2 linked regions of the Oreochromis niloticus genome follow. The protein of the gene in region 1 binds, or shares a complex with, the protein of each later gene. Links are inferred from orthologs where the notes say so. Each region holds a gene or a part of one and is shown on either strand. Other genes may lie near its edges. The genes, in order: lamin-A and zmpste24.

What was found.
Region 2: the proteins of lamin-A (region 1) and zmpste24 are in contact, whole or in part, in a crystal structure (PDB 2YPT), measured with the Homo sapiens proteins. The link is inferred for Oreochromis niloticus from reciprocal best matches to the Homo sapiens genes LMNA and ZMPSTE24. Residues at the interface, in NP_001393912.1 of Homo sapiens: Cys661, Ser662, Ile663, Met664; in NP_005848.2 of Homo sapiens: Ser264, Asn265, Ala266, Tyr267, Phe268, Val332, His335, His339, Glu415, Leu438, Asn439, Asn442, His459, Arg465.

Annotation. Positions count from the first base shown.
Region 1 is NC_031976.2:36,004,380-36,008,306, reverse strand, and holds the start of lamin-A, read right to left. Parts: upstream 2,679-3,927; 5' UTR 2,500-2,678; intron 1-2,499.
Region 2 is NC_031983.2:13,757,373-13,761,299, forward strand, and holds the start of zmpste24 (CAAX prenyl protease 1 homolog), read left to right. Parts: upstream 1-1,170; 5' UTR 1,171-1,447; coding exon 1,448-1,555; intron 1,556-2,677; coding exon 2,678-2,824; intron 2,825-3,127; coding exon 3,128-3,331; intron 3,332-3,630; coding exon 3,631-3,783; intron 3,784-3,927. UniProt on the Homo sapiens protein: Transmembrane metalloprotease whose catalytic activity is critical for processing lamin A/LMNA on the inner nuclear membrane and clearing clogged translocons on the endoplasmic reticulum.

The sequences.
Region 1 (3,927 bases):
CAGAGGCAGCAATATAACATAGCTAACATTAACAGTGCAGTGAATCCTGCGTGTGCCGTGATATTCAGGACTGCAAACCGAGCAGCATCACTGACTTTCAGCTTGTTGTGTTTGTGGATATATGACTGACTTTAATTATCCACAAAATCATCAGATTCTCTGTAAGATTAAGGTCGACTATCTAACGGCGTATAAAGTAAAGGCTTTAAAACAAAGTAAATGCTGAAAGTACAAACATCGCTAATGTCACATAACTTTGCCGGCATGTGGCCAACAGTAATGTTTTAATGTTCCTCATTATTAAACATTTGCACATAAATAAGTGACATAATATTCAGAACTTACTTTTGAAAGTTTACTCTTTGGCCGCTCCACTTCTTTGAAGTGTCTCCCAGTGCACTTGTTAGCATGTTTTGGTTCGTGCAATTGGTCCGTCCGGGTATTGTCTCCCCAGAAACATTTCCGTTGTCTTTTTTCCTATTTCCGTTGTGCTTTGTGTGCTTTTGCAGCGTTTTTCTTTTTGCAGCGTTTTTCTTTTTGCAGCATTTTTCTTTTTGCAGCATTTTTCTTTTTGCAGCGTTTTTCTTTTTGCAGCGTTTTTCTTTTTGCAAGTGTTTTTCTTTTTGCAAGTGTTTTTCTTTTTGCAGCGTTTTTCTTTTTGCAGCATTTTTCTTTTTGCAAGTGTTTTTCTTTTTGTAGCATTTTTCTTTTTGCAGCATTTTTCTTTTTGCAAGTGTTTTCTGAAGTTGCAGTCCGTTTGGCCTCTCAGGGCCACCGTATAAAACTGTATGTAACCATGAAAAAAGTGTTGCCATGTCCACCAGGACAGTATAGTATAGACAGTATAGTATAAACAGTAGTATAGACTCCTTCACATAGTGGACATTGAGTTGTTGTGTGGGGCACCAGTAGTCCATGTGTGTTGCTGTAACAGTAGTTCATGTTTAGAATAAAAAGTCCCAGCTCACTGACTTGATCGGGGCAATAGTGCCTAAAAGGTTGCATAATTTTGCTGAGAGATCTTTTACTTTGTGGTAATCTTAGACGAGTAGTTTTATGGACAAAAACCATCAGGTCATTCAGTGTTCCCTTAGTGCTAATGTGTAAGAGATGTTGGTGCACTATAACTGAAGTAATGTCCTTAAAGTCATATTCTTTTATTGTCATGACTCTATTTGAAGCTTTTTTTTATTTTTGTATGATACCTGATTTATATGGAATATGGCTGAAGTAAACTAAAGTCTAAAATCAGTCATTTATTTAATAGTAATTTAACATTATATAATTCACATATAAAACTATGAATTGTAATTTTAAATGGTTTAAAAGCATGTAGAATAGCATATGTAAGCAAGTATATTTCTCCCTTTTTTTTCTTTTTTTTTTAATGAAGAAGCAAAGACAAAAAGGAAAAAAAGAAAAAGAAACAGCGCAGGGTTCGGTGGTTGAATCATCCGTCCCCACCAATGCCAAAACCAAATCTACGCCCTTGTCTGTTGGCCCCGTTTCTATGCGCAGACAGCGGAGGCTTTCAAGTACCTCTGTGTTCATCCTGATGCAGAGAACGGCACAGGAACTGATTCCTGCCACTAGCCATCAAACGTTACAACTACCCTCTACTACAACTGGACTATTTAGACTCGCCACATCTTGTGTATATTGTCCGTAGTATCATTAAACTTTAGAGTATTTATTTTAACTAATTGGACCTTATTGGAATGTGGCCCTTTTAAAACGTATTTTTATATATATTGTTTACATTTTTCTAGCTTCATATTTTATATCATATTGACATTTTAATTTATCCCTCCACCTCCACCCACACACCGTGATTAATAAAGTAGTCTGATTCTGACTGATTTCACAGCGTGGATTTTGGGGGATTTCCCCGGTTCACGTCGAGAGACAAATAACAAAACTGAACAATCAATATTGACTTCGGTTACCGGTAAACCTGTGTGGTTTCTGTTTTCTGAGCATCAGTATGAGTGCAGATTTTCCGGAAATCCGGGGTGATCAACAGGTTCAGTAATACTCAAACCAGGACAGCTGACACAAACCTCATATTTATTCCTATTTTCTGGAGTATGATGTCATCATTGGGCGAAGCGCCTGCTGGGTGTCGCGCACCGCTCTGCTGCCGCGTGATTGGCTCATTCTAATGTGGTTTCTAACAAAGCGCTCACTCGGTGTACATGCATGCTTTCGTCACGAATTATGAGGATGCTCTCACTCTGTGCCTCTCTGGCGCCCCCTGCTACCACTCAGTACATATGACATAAATAGAACCCCACAGTGCACAGCCTTCCACTGAAGTCATTCACAAGCACAGCACATCCACGCCATCCACTGGCTGACACACTGAATGGAAACTGTCAGTGTGGGTCAAAGAGTTCATGAACTGATTCAACTCTCTGCCTGCGCCCTGTTAGAAACTATAAGAAGAAGAATAAATGCATTTCATCTTCCAGCTGAAACACACTCCGCTCTCCGTCCTACCTTCGCCTTCTTCTGCCTTTTCTTCTGCAGCGCTTTAAAACGCGTCTCCCGTCTCTGCGCTCACCGGTGACCTTTCCAAATGTCGGCAGTCCCAGTTAATCACGATATCATCCGCTGGGACGCGTTTCCTTTGAACAAATCGGAGAGCCGCGGAGCTCCGAGTCGAGCCAACCCGAGTCAGCAGCCACCTGCAGATCCACACACTTGATTAGGCTGCCAATCTCCGCTAATTACAATGCAGCCTGCAGGCGCCACCTGGCGACCATGATTAACGCTTCGGTAGTGACAGTATTTTTAGCTGGTGAGGGTTTCAGTCGAGCAGGTGATGTTTGGAGAAAATAAACCAAATGTGTGTAAGGGGTGACTATGGAACAGGGGTGTGTCCAGAGAGCCAGTATGAGGGGTGGCACAGCCCCCTCATGGTGCCCCCCACTAAGGTAACTAAAGTAGAGTAGTGTTGAGAGCATGGCTACTTTGTTTCTGTATGTTATGATACTTTCCTCCTCTAATCCAATATATTTTGGATAAATTCCTTGCACTGTGTGCTCCCTGCCACGTATTTTAATGATTTTAAACTATGATTCTGCTAATACATGATGCTAGGTTATTATAGACAAAGCTACCGAGCGTTGTATGTAATTAAAACAGTCAAGCTGCAACAACAAAGTGATATACATGGTTTTATTATAGTACTTTAAGTACATTTTGAAATGATGTGTATACTAGTATTTAAATGAGGACATGACTTTTACTTGAGTCATGTTTCTTGTTCCTGGAATAGCCCATGCAAACATCGCTCACAGAGCACGGATGGGTTTTTTCTTCTCCTCCTGCTGAACAGCTGATGATAGCACCACTGAGTTCAGGTTAGACAGGATGATGTGAGTCTGCAGGATGTTGTGCTTTATGTTTGTGTTTAAGTGCTGTCTTAATCTCTGAATTCATCTCCAACAGTGGCACGAGCAAAATAGAAAGTGCTTGTACTGTAGTTATGCAGTGATATAAGAGTGATGTAAACTCAATTTACTGCAAGAGGCCAGATGGTTGCGGTGCCAGTGAAAAAACAAGTTAACCCTCTGGTTTTCAAATAAATGTACACTTTAAAGTAATCACTTTGCTGCTGTGTATCTGAACATGTTACTTTTTGTGTGGTTCACATTTTTACTGTCAGGCATCATATTAAGCCTGTTCAGACCCAAAAAGCCAAGATTAAGTTGCTGTAAGTTTAAAGCTGCAGTAATTAAAATATTAGATGGCAAATCAAATGTTTAATACCTCAAAATCTTTTTTTTGTTTTTGTTTCAAAACTTGTGCTGCTCTGAAATGACCCTGGTTCTTTTTCCACACAGGATCCCACTGAAGCTTGTTTTGGACTGAAGCTGACGCTGATGCTCAGGTAAAATTATTTCACATCACACCTCATACATC
Region 2 (3,927 bases), on another chromosome or scaffold:
ATAGTGTATGGTATTATTCCTGTTATAGACTAAAATTATGTTTAAAAACACACACACACACACACACATATATATATATATCTATATCTATAGAGAGAGAGAGATAGATAGATAGATAGAGAGATATATAGAGAGAGAGAGAGAGAGAGATCTAGAGATCTATAGATATATGAATGACACATATATTATTAATTTAATAATTTTCTTATTCCTAGGCAAGTGTCATTGTCTTCCCTCAGATTAAAACTGTTAATTGAAAAAGTATGCTTAGTGCTTTACATGACCTTTTTTTTTTATTTTTAAAGTTTTATTTTATGGATTATGGATCAGATAAAGCCGGACATCGTTTATAGTCCCAGACTCTAAGAAGTCCAAACAGTCCAGAGTTAGCTGTGCAGCACTTCTGTGGGATTACCTTTCAGTGAGTTACAGTATTAGCTCATTAGCAGTATTCAGGAGGCCCTGCCGGAAGGTCTGTCAGAATCCAGTTTCCCTAGCACACGTGTGGTTAAAAGTTTCAGATGCGACACTGCAATGTATAAACAGATTCCGTGCATGGGAAGGGAAGAGTGCAGCTGTGTGGTTTTAGTATTTAAGATTTTACATCGTCTAAAGTGTTTTTAATTAAAGGTAAATTGTTAGGAATTTAAATGCATATTTATATAGATATGAAAAGCCACATTAATATACACACTTTAAATGTGTGCGTACTTTTTTGTATTGTATAAAATGGGTGTGGTACAGGACCCGCCACGTTTCCTGTTGTGTTGAAGTAACTACCGTTATTTTATGGTTGGTGATTGCATGTAAATAATCACATTGAACTGAGAAGAGGAATTAAGTAGCAAAAGTCAACATTTCCTGCGCTGCCACGTCTGTTTAGCTATCGTGCTCATTGCATATATGAGGCTGCTACCGCCAGCAATAAACGTGTAGTTCTCGTGCATTAAAAAAAAAGGAATACTCTAAAACCTTAAATTATGCTTTATTAGGAGTTTAACTAACTTGAATATACATTTACATTCTGAGCTGCATTGTACACAAATATTTGTGTGGAATATTTATTAATGGGGGTTCAAATAAAGGTGTTTTATTGAGATACAAAAATTTTAACTCTTTAGTGAGTCAGTCAAATTAAGAAAATCCACTGCGGAACCAAGTTATAGAAGACGTTCCTTTGGGTGCCGAATTCGTTGATACGCATAACCAACGGGCTCGGTAGTTGATATGAATGGAATGATGTTAGTTGTAAAAGCCTAGACTTTTCTTAGGAATGAAAACTGGATGCAAAGATCTAAACTTTAGTCTGTATCTGTCTATTTGACGGAGGGGCATATTTCCCATAATTCACGTTTAAAGTGCTGTCTATTTGTCTGTAAGTGTGTGTAGAGCGGAAGCTAATTAGCTGCTAGCCTGCTTAGCTAACTGCTCTAGTAAAACAGCAAAGATGGTTGAAACTATAGTTGACCTGCCGGTGGAAAAGCAGATATTTTACGCTGTCCTAGGGTTTTCATGGACAGTATACCTTTGGGAGGCATATCTTTCTTACAGACAGGTGAGTCAATTGTTTATCAAGATTAAATCCCTCTGCTTTATAATAAAAGCAGAGCGTAAATCAACGAACCCTTGACAGCGGTTAAAACATTTGATTTTAATCTCCTGTGGACTCACTATGAGCTGTGTCTTTCATAAAGTCTGAGTTTAATATAGGATATTCTGATAGTTGAATATGTGATGCGACCAAGGGGTCAGTTTGGCAGGGTTCGTGTAATGGTGGACACCAGATTTTTTGCTATTCAGTATTTTAGGTATTTAGTTTCAAAACACAACAGCGTAAGATTTCTTAATACGAACCCACAAAGCTATGAGTCGGGTCTATTATCAGCTTGCTGGAAATGTTCACTGGTCTATTTCACGCCCAGACACGTGTCTGTGGATGTGAAATATGAAGCTGTTTGAATCCTATTAACATTTTTTTTTTTGTATCCACTTCAGTTAAGCTACACTGAAAAGTATCTCACGACAGTGTTGGGATGGGTGTAGTTCCTCTAGGAACAGGAACTGATGTAGCAAATAATACAGAGAACGTCTTTAACCCAGAATATTAGCATGTAGTCTTGATATGCTACTACACACATTGAAAGACTGCAGAGAGCCACTTTTATGAGGATATGGACAGGGATTCACACGATTATCATACACAATTGGCCTTGGCCTTCCTGTAAATCATTAGATTGATGGCAGTAGGCAATGTTTACTCGTTCTGTGAAATTTCTTTAGTTCAAATGTAGTGATTTAGAGCTAAAAGACTTCAAAGCAGTTTTTTTGTATCCCTAGTATAAAAAAAACACACATTATTGGCCTCACCTACCAGCTCAAAGGTCGAATTGTTGCAATATCGTTGACACGATTGTATAGTATAGACTCAACAGGTTAAAAAGATGCTCTTTGAAACACAGATTTGAAGGAAAACATCAAATTGGATTAGTAATGATTATATTATGATGATTTTCTCATGTGATACTTGACAAGTTTTGAGTTTAACACTTGATGAATAACATATCTGAAATATGTAACTTGGTCAGTTACACTGACAGCATTGGATCCCTACTTCATCAGTACCTTGATGAGTTTCAGTGATAATGTAACTTTATGCACATGTCTTCCTACACTGCAGAGGAGGATATATAGAACAACAACCCATGTACCGCAGGAGCTGGGCAAGATCATGGATTCTGAAACATTTGAGAAGTCACGTCTTTATCAGCTGGATAAAAGCAACTTCAGCTTTTGGTCTGGACTCTATTCTGAGACTGAGGGGACGGTAAGATGATCATTTAACTAAAAGACACAGTTGTTTTTGAGTTGATAGTCTTCCTCATATTAAAATGTTCTTTTATCACAAGTGTAGTAGCTGTGGACTTGTTGAGAAAAGTGAAAGTCAGAAAGTGTCTTCTTGACCTGCAGGACTTTAAATGGACTTGATGAAGTATTAATACAATATTAGTGAAAAGAGTGTGCTTTTTTTCCTTTTTGTTCATTTTGTTTGTTTGATATTTACGATTAGCGTAGTCTAACTCATTCTGTATGCCACACATTTAAAATATTGTGCTCAAAACTGTTTCAGCTGATTCTGCTACTGGGTGGAATACCATTTCTGTGGGCTGTCGCCGGTTCTGTGACTGCTCGCTTTGGATTTGGTCCAGAGTACGAGATCACCCAGTCCCTCGTGTTTCTGACGCTTGCTACCCTGTTCAGTGCTATAACTGGACTCCCCTGGAGTTTGTACAACACTTTCGTCATTGAGGAGAAGCACGGCTTTAATCAGCAGGTACACTGGCTGGAATGCACTCACTGTTTGTAGCCAAGACTAACTTGAGTTTGATTGAATTGAAGTTACCACAGTGACGGGTCATACTGAGGATGTGTCTTTATGTTGTTTAATGTCAAAAACACAAATGATTTAAATGTAATAAGAAGTTTTCCACTGTGAAATCTTGTCTGTTTAAACCCAAAATGAATTCAGAGACCGGAGCATCTGTGAAGAAGTAAACAGACATCAGAAGTCTAACACACTATATTAATGTCCTGTTTCCACTTTCCTCTTTTAATGTTTGTTCTTCCTCTCAGACGTTGGGGTTCTTCCTCAAAGATGCCGTGAAGAAGTTTGCTGTCACTCAGTGTATCCTGCTTCCTGTGACCTCCCTGCTCCTGTACATCATAAAGATTGGCGGAGACTACTTCTTCATTTATGCTTGGCTCTTTACCCTGGTCGTTTCTCTGGTTAGTGGCGCGTTCACCTCGCTCTGTGAAAACGTTGAAAATGCATCACTGTGTAATAAGGGAATAAGTTCCTTGTCAGATAACTAGTGAGAAACTCAAAAGAAGTACATAGTTGATACTACACCTGTAATACATCCTGTCATC